Linked DNA regions of Anolis sagrei. The protein of the gene in region 1 binds, or shares a complex with, the protein of each later gene. Links are inferred from orthologs where the notes say so. Each region holds a gene or a part of one and is shown on either strand. Other genes may lie near its edges.

Evidence for each region. Proteins that work in one complex are often made in the same cells at the same time.
Region 2: the proteins of MICALL1 (region 1) and EHD1 are in contact, whole or in part, in an NMR structure (PDB 2KSP), measured with the Homo sapiens proteins. The link is inferred for Anolis sagrei from reciprocal best matches to the Homo sapiens genes MICALL1 and EHD1. Residues at the interface, in NP_203744.1 of Homo sapiens: Lys422, Tyr424, Asn425, Pro426, Phe427, Glu428, Glu429; in NP_001269373.1 of Homo sapiens: Gly464, Ala467, Lys468, Met471, Asn478, Leu481, Gly482, Trp485, Lys486, Lys492, Asp493, Gly494.

The regions. Positions count from the first base shown.
Region 1 is NC_090025.1:164,612,448-164,616,199, forward strand, and holds the start of MICALL1 (MICAL-like protein 1), read right to left. Parts: upstream 2,733-3,752; 5' UTR 2,523-2,732; coding exon 2,377-2,522; intron 1-2,376. UniProt on the Homo sapiens protein: Lipid-binding protein with higher affinity for phosphatidic acid, a lipid enriched in recycling endosome membranes. On endosome membranes, acts as a downstream effector of Rab proteins recruiting cytosolic proteins to regulate membrane tubulation.
Region 2 is NC_090032.1:20,366,913-20,370,664, forward strand, and holds the start of EHD1 (EH domain-containing protein 1), read left to right. Parts: upstream 1-1,449; 5' UTR 1,450-1,635; coding exon 1,636-1,654; intron 1,655-3,752. UniProt on the Homo sapiens protein: ATP- and membrane-binding protein that controls membrane reorganization/tubulation upon ATP hydrolysis. In vitro causes vesiculation of endocytic membranes. Acts in early endocytic membrane fusion and membrane trafficking of recycling endosomes.

The sequences.
Region 1 (3,752 bases):
TTGGACTAGGATTGGAATCAGGGTTCGAATCCCTGCTCAGTCATGGAAACCCATTCAGTGACCATAAGCAAGTCACACTCTCTCAACCTAAGAGGAAGACAAGGCCAAGCCCTCTCTGAGGCCCCTTCTACACTGCCATATAATCCAGATCATCAAAACAGATGGTCCACATTATCTGCTTTGAACTGGATTAAATGAGTCTACACTGCTTTATAATCCAGTTCAAAGCAGATCATCTGAATTTTATATGGCAGTATAGAAGGGGCCTGAGCCAATGTTTCCAAGAAAGCCCTGTAGGAGATCTGCTTTAGGGTCAATGTAAATTGGAAAGGATATTAAAGCACACAACAACAACAAAAACAACAACACCTATTACTGAAACTCTCCACAATTTCCAAGAAAAGAAAAGGTTTGGACTGGAGGCAAAACATTGTCCTTTCTTAAATCAGTTCTATTTGCAGAACCTCTAATTACACTGTGGGAGAACTGTGAAATAGAAACTGGCTTATCATACAAAACCTCTTTCAGTGTCCCTCCACATTTTGCTGCAATCTTTTAAGGAATCTAGAGTCCTCCTTATTGCTAATTAATGGCTGTGGAGTAGAAAGGTGTGGCTAGGGCTACATCTCTACACTGTGGAATGAATGCAGTTTGATGTCACTTTACACGCTATGGCTCAAAGCTATGGAATCCTGTGGGTGGTAGATTTACAAAGTCTTGTCTGGCAAAATGTGCTACTGCATTCAGCCATGGCAGTTAAAGTGATGCCGAACTGCATTAATTCTACAGCATAGAGCAGGCTGTTAGGAATTGTAGGGGTTGAAGTCCAAAACACCTGGAGGGCCCAAGTTTGCCCAGGCCAGGATACACCCTGGATACACTTCAGGTGTTTTGGTCTACCGACTGTTAGGAATTGTGGGAGTTGAAATCCAAAACACTTGGCGGGCTGAAGTTTGCCCAACCCTGGATACACTTGAGGTGTTGTGGACTACCGGTTATTAGGAATTGTGGGAGTTAAAGTCCAAAACACTTGGAGGACCCAAGTTTGCCCAGGCCTGGATACACCCTGGATATACTCCAGGTGTTCTGGACTACCGGCTATTAGGAATTGTGGGAGTTGAAGTCCAAAATACCTGGATGGCCCAAGTTTGCCCAGGCCTTGATACACCCTAGATACCCTCCAGGTGTTTTGGACTACTGGCTGTTCGGGATTATGGGAGCTGAAGTCCAAAACACTTGGAGGACCCAAGTTTGCCCATGCCTAGATAGGATACACCCTGAATATACTCCTGGTGTTTTGGACTACTGGCTGTTAGGAATTATGGGAGTTGAAGTCCAAAATACCTGGAGGGTCCAAGTTTGCCCAGGCCCGGATACACTTGAGGTGTTTTGGACTACCGGTTATTAGGAATTGTAGGGGTGGAAGTCCAAAACACCTGGAGGGCCCAAGTTTGCCCAGACCAGAATACACCCTAGATACACTTCAGGTGTTTTGGTCTACCGACTGTTAGGAATTGTGGGAGTTGAAATCCAAAACACTTGGCGGGCCGAAGTTTGCCCAGGCCTGAATACACTTGAGGTGTTCTGGACTACCGGTTATTGGGAATTGTGGGAGTTAAAGTCCAAAACACTTGGAGGACCCAAGTTTTCCCAGGCCTAGATACACCTTGGATATACTCCAGGTGTTTTGAACTACTGGCTGTTAGGAATTGTGGGAGTTAAAGTCCAGAACACTTGGGAGAACTGAAGTTTGCCTATGCCTGGATACACCCTAGATACCCTCCAGGTGTTTTGGACTACTGGCTGTTAAGAATTCTGGGAGTTGAAGTCCAAAACACCTGGCAGGTCCAAGTTTGCCCAGGCATAGATACACTTCAGGTGTTTTGGACTACTGGCTGTTAGGAATTGTGGGAGTTGTAGTCCAAAACACCTGGAGGGCTGAAGTTTGTCCATGTCTGGATACACCTTGGGTCCTGGCAGAAATATTAGGGATTCTGGGAGCTGAAGTCCAAAACACCTGAAGGATCAACGCTTCAACACAATATCACACTTTAGGGCTGCTTAATAAATAGGAATATCTCGTTTCTCTCTTCTTAAGTCCTCTTGGGAGTGTGTCCCAAACTCCAAAGGACTTCAACTCCCAGAAGCCTCGGCTGCTCCGTCCAACGATGGAGGATTCTGGGACCTGGAGTCTAAGACACCTATGTAGGGCTGCACCTTTCCCCCTTTGCCTCACGAATAGGGTCCCCTTCCTTCTCCCTCAGCCCTCTCAGAGGAGCAACTGCTTGCCGAAGAGGTTGCCCCCAGCGCCGGCCGTTCCATCTAAGCGAGCCCGGGGCTTCTGTTGGGGCCTAGTGGCGGAACGGGTGAACTCACAGCAAGTCGGGCCGGTGCCGGTGGAGGATGGCGCAGAAGGCGAGACCGTCTCTGAAGGAGCTGCTGAGGTCCCGGACCTCGACGCCGGGGTAGCCCTCGCACTGGCGGCGGCACCAGGCCTGCAAGGCGCTGCGCGGGCCCGACATGGACTCCAGCCTCCTCCGCGCTTCTCCTGGCTCTCCTCTCTTCTCCGCTACTCCCGGAGGGAGGCTCCCTCTCCTCCCGCCCAGGAAGGGCGCCGCAGGGCTCTGCTCAGACCTGTCCCGCCGGCGGACGCGGAGCCTCCCTCTCCGCCCATCGCCCGCAGCGGCAGAGCAGCGCTCCTCTGCGGAGGAGGCTTAGTCATATCACAGGAGGAGGAGGAGGAGAAAGAGCCAACTGGGGAGAGGGAGCAGCAGGCCCACTTCACTTCAGTCTGGGTTATTTATTTTTATATTCATACCTAGATGCATTGGACATGTTGTTAAATACTAAACAAAGGGGTGTGTGTATATATACACACATCAGGCCTGGGCAAACTTGGGCCCCTAGGTGTTTTGGACTTCAACTCCCACAATTCCTAGCAGCCGGTAGGCTGCTAGGAATTGTGGGAGTTGAAGTCCAAAACACCTGGAGGGCCCAAGTTTGCCCAGGCCTTATATACATACATGCATCAAGAGGGATAGGAAGTTCAGGATCAGGAAGGATCTGTACCAGGCCTGGGCAAACTTGGGCCCTTCCAGGTGTTTTGGACTTCCACTCCCACAATTCCCATCAGCCTACCGGCTGCCATGTACAGGTAGATTCCAATAGGCTTGTGCATTTCAGCTGAATTATTTATTTACTGCAGTAGTTCCCAACCTTTTTTAAGCAGGGACAACATTGACCAGGGACTGCTTTGGCCAGGGACCGCTTTGACCACGGACCTCATGAACAGGGGCTGCATTGACCAGGGACCGCTTTGACCAACGACCTCTTTGACCAGGGACCGCATTGACCAGGGACTGCTTTGACCAATGACCGCTTTGACCAAGGACCGCTTTGACCAGAGACCACTTGACCAGGGACCTCTTTGACCAGAGATGCATTGACCAGGGACCTCTTCACCAGGGACCACTTTGACCAACCACTTTGACCAGGGAGCACTTGAACAGGGACCTCTTTGACCAGGGACCCCTTTACCAGGGACTGCATTGACCAGGGACCCCTTCACCAGAGACCACTTGACCAGGGACCACATGAACAGGAACCATTTGAACAGGGAGCACATGACCAGGAAGCACATGACCAAGGACCTCTTTGACCAAGGACGACTTGAACATGGCAATTTAAGCTTTGTCAAACTGTATTACTACTGCAGCAGGTAAACCTACCGTGGTTAACTGCCACCCATTCCA
Region 2 (3,752 bases), on another chromosome or scaffold:
GAGGCGGATGGGGAGAACAAGGGATTTCCTGGGTCCTGATAAAAGATGTGTATAGGCAAAAAGGGTGGCTATGGGTGGTGTCTGGATCTCAACCCTGTAGGCAAAGGAAATCCTTTGACACAAGGGAGCATACACAAGCACCATGATTGATTTAATCAGTCTGTTTTTCCGGGCTTTTGGCTGACAAAATCTCTGGCCCTTGTTTGTCTGACTCTGAAAAACAAAGCCATAGATTTGCCAGCATTTGTCCATGCATTGTCAGTATGGATGGAGTTTCTTCCAAGGAAATTGGATTTCCTTAACTGTAATCCCCAGGTCACATATTCTTTTATAGGGTAAAGTTCAAGAGGGGGAAGGCAAGGAGAGGGGTGAGGGTACATCTTATTTCATTTCACCTCATTACATATCATATACTTCATATATATATTCTTCACAGTCTTTCATAACTCATAGATTTCATAGGAAAGATCCCCATCCCAGCGAAGTTTATTAGAAAACCCACAGCAATTAATAAAGGCAATCAGCAGAGTTCCTGAGGTATGATCCTTTGCAACAAGGGCATGCACCCACAGGCGGGGGCCATACTTCAGAAGCGGCTTGGCTTTTGGAGTTCAGGGAGGAAGTCCGTGATGCTAGGGCATTAAGTCAATCAGTGAGGGCAGAAAGGTTCGCAAAGAGTCCGCAAATGGTGGAGAGTGGGGCAATGTCCTTTGGAGAACTACATTTCCCTGATCAGGGGCCAGGGTCCAGTGCACAAGCCAGAGAATTCACAGAGAGGAAACAGGAACCCAGTTATGTGCGCTGGGTCAGGAAGCAGCAGAATCCATTTTCCGGCCCTTGGCGAACTTCAAATACTTGGGGGGGGGGGGGGGGAGATGCTCTGCATCAGTAGTAGTAGTAGTAATTATTATTATTATTATTATTATTAATTATGATTATTATTATTAGTTGTAGTAGTAATTCTGGGAGTTGGAAGTCCAAAACACCTCTTAGTTGTAGTAGTAGTAGTAATTATTATTATTAATTATTATTATTAATTATGATGATGATGATGATTAGTAGTAGTAATTCTGGGAGTTGGAAGTCCAAAACACCTCTTAGTTGTAGTAGTAGTAGTAATTATTATTATTAATTATTATTATTATTATTATTAGTAGTAGTAATTCTGGGAGTTGGAAGTCCAAAACACCTCTTAGTTGTAGTAGTAGTAGTAATTATTATTATTAATTATTATTATTATTATTAGTAGTAGTAGTAATTCTGGGAGTTGGAAGTCCAAAACACCTCTTAGTTGTAGTAGTAGTAGTAATTATTATTATTATTATTTATTATTATTAATTATGATGATTATTATTAGTAGTAGTAATTCTGGGAGTTGGAAGTCCAAAACACCTCTTAGTTGTAGTAGTAGTAGTAATTATTATTATTAATTATTATTATGATTATTAATTATGATGATGATTATTAGTTGTAGTAGTCATTCTGGGAGTTGGAAGTCCAAAACACCTCTCATGCGAAGAAGGGAAGGAAATTCTCAAGGTTCTAGAACCCCGGTTCTAGAACCCGGCCCTGTTCACAAAGAAGCCGGGTTCCGGCTCAACCGCTGATGCTGAAAGAACACATGAAGGAGCCGAAATGGACGAAGGGACCTCAGGTGACCCTCCGAATTTGTGTGTTTCAGTAGGAATTCAATGGGGTGAACTACCGATTCCAATAATACTCATTCTATTCCAATAATAAGCCGGAAATGAAAGGGGAAGCCTCTACCTTTGTGTATTTACATGTTATTGTTATTCCACTGTCTCCAAGGCATTGAAAGTTTGCCTTTCTGTGTATATTCTTGGATTATCAAGTGTCTAGATGTCATCGGGGTTTGTGAAAATATTAGAAAAAGCCAGTCAAGGCTTGAATACAGCGGAATAGCGATGATATGACAAATACACAAAGGTAAAGGCTTCCCCTTTCATTTCCGGCGTGCTGAAGGCAGTGCTCAACTCTGGCCAGGAGGAGGCGCTCGCGTTCCATTTCCAAGCCAAGGAGCCTGTTGTCTGTAGACACCTCTTGGCCCAGGCCTCCCTTAGAAGTTACTTTTTTCAGACCTCCAGCCCTTGGAAGTTACTTTTTAGGACCCCCCCCATTCCTTTGGAAGTTACTTTTTTCAGACCTCCAGCCCTTGGAAGTTACTTTTTAGGACCCCCCCCATTCCCTTGGAAGTTACTTTTTTGTACCCCCATTCCCTTGGAAGTTACTTTTTAGGACCACCCATTCCCTTGGAAGTTACTTTTTAGGATCCCCCCATTCCCTTGGGAATTACTTTTTAGGACCCCCCATTCTCTTGGAAGTTACTTTTTAGGACCCCCCCATTCCCTTGGAAGTTACTTTTTAGGACCACCCCCATTCCCTTGGAAGTTACTTTTTAGGACCCCCCATTCCCTTGGAAGTTACTTTTTAGGACCCCCCCCCATTCCCTTGGAAGTTACATTTTAGGACCCCCATTCCATTGGAAGTTACTTTTTAGGACCCCCCATTCCATTGGAACTTACTTTTTAGGACCCCCCCCATTCCATTGGAAGTTACTTTTTAGGACCCCCCCATTCCCTTGGAAGTTACTTTTTAGGACCCCCCCATTCCCTTGGAAGTTACTTTTTAGGACCCCCATTCCATTGGAAGTTACTTTTTAGGATCCCCCCATTCCCTTGGAAGTTACTTTTTAGGACCCCCCCATTCCCTTGGAAGTTACTTTTTAGGACCCCCCATTCCATTGGAACTTACTTTTTAGGACCCCCCCATTCCATTGGAAGTTACTTTTTAGGACCCCCCCCCCATTCCCTTGGAAGTTACATTTTAGGATCCCCCCTTTCCATGGAAGTTCATTTTTTTTAGACCTCCAGCCCTTTGAAGTTACTTTTCAGGACTCCCATCCCATGAAAGTTATTTTTAGGGCCCCGTCCCCCCATCCCATGAAAGTTACTTCCTTTAGACCTCCGGCCCATGGAAGTTACTTTTTTTAGACATCCAGCCCTTGGAAGTTACTTTTTAGGACTCCTATTCCATGGAAGTTACTTTTTAGGATCCCCCCATTCCATGAAAGTTCCTTTTTTTTAGACCTCCAGCCCTTGGAAGTTACTTTTTAGGACTCCTATCCCATGGAAGTTGCTTTTTAGGACCTCCTTCCATCCCATGAAAGTTACTTTTTTAGACCTCCATCCCTTGGAAGTTACTTTTCAGGACTCCCATCCCATGAAAGTTACTTTGCTTAGACCTCCAGCACTTGGAAATTACTTTTTAGGACTCCCATCCCATAAAAGTTACTTTTTTACACCTCCATCCCTTGGAAGTTGCTTTTTAGGACCTCCCATCTAATGAAAATTACTTTTTAAAGATCTCCAGCCCTTGGAAGTTACTTTTTAGGAACCCCTTCTCTTGGAAACTCCTTTTTTCAGACCCTCCAGTCCTTGGATATTAATTTTTAGGACTCCTATCCAATGGAAGTTACTTTTTAGGACCCCCTTCCATCCCTCGAAAGTTACTTTTTTCGATCTCCAGCCCTTGGAAGTTACTTTTTAGGTCTCCTGTCCCATGGAAGTTACTTTTTATGACCACCCATCCATTAAAGTTACTTTGTTTAGACCTCCATCCCTTGGAAGTTACTTTTTAGGACTCCTATCCCATAAAAGTTACTTTTTTTAGGACCCCCATCCCATAAAAATTACTTTTTAAGACCTCCAGCCCTTGGAAGTTACTTTTTAGGA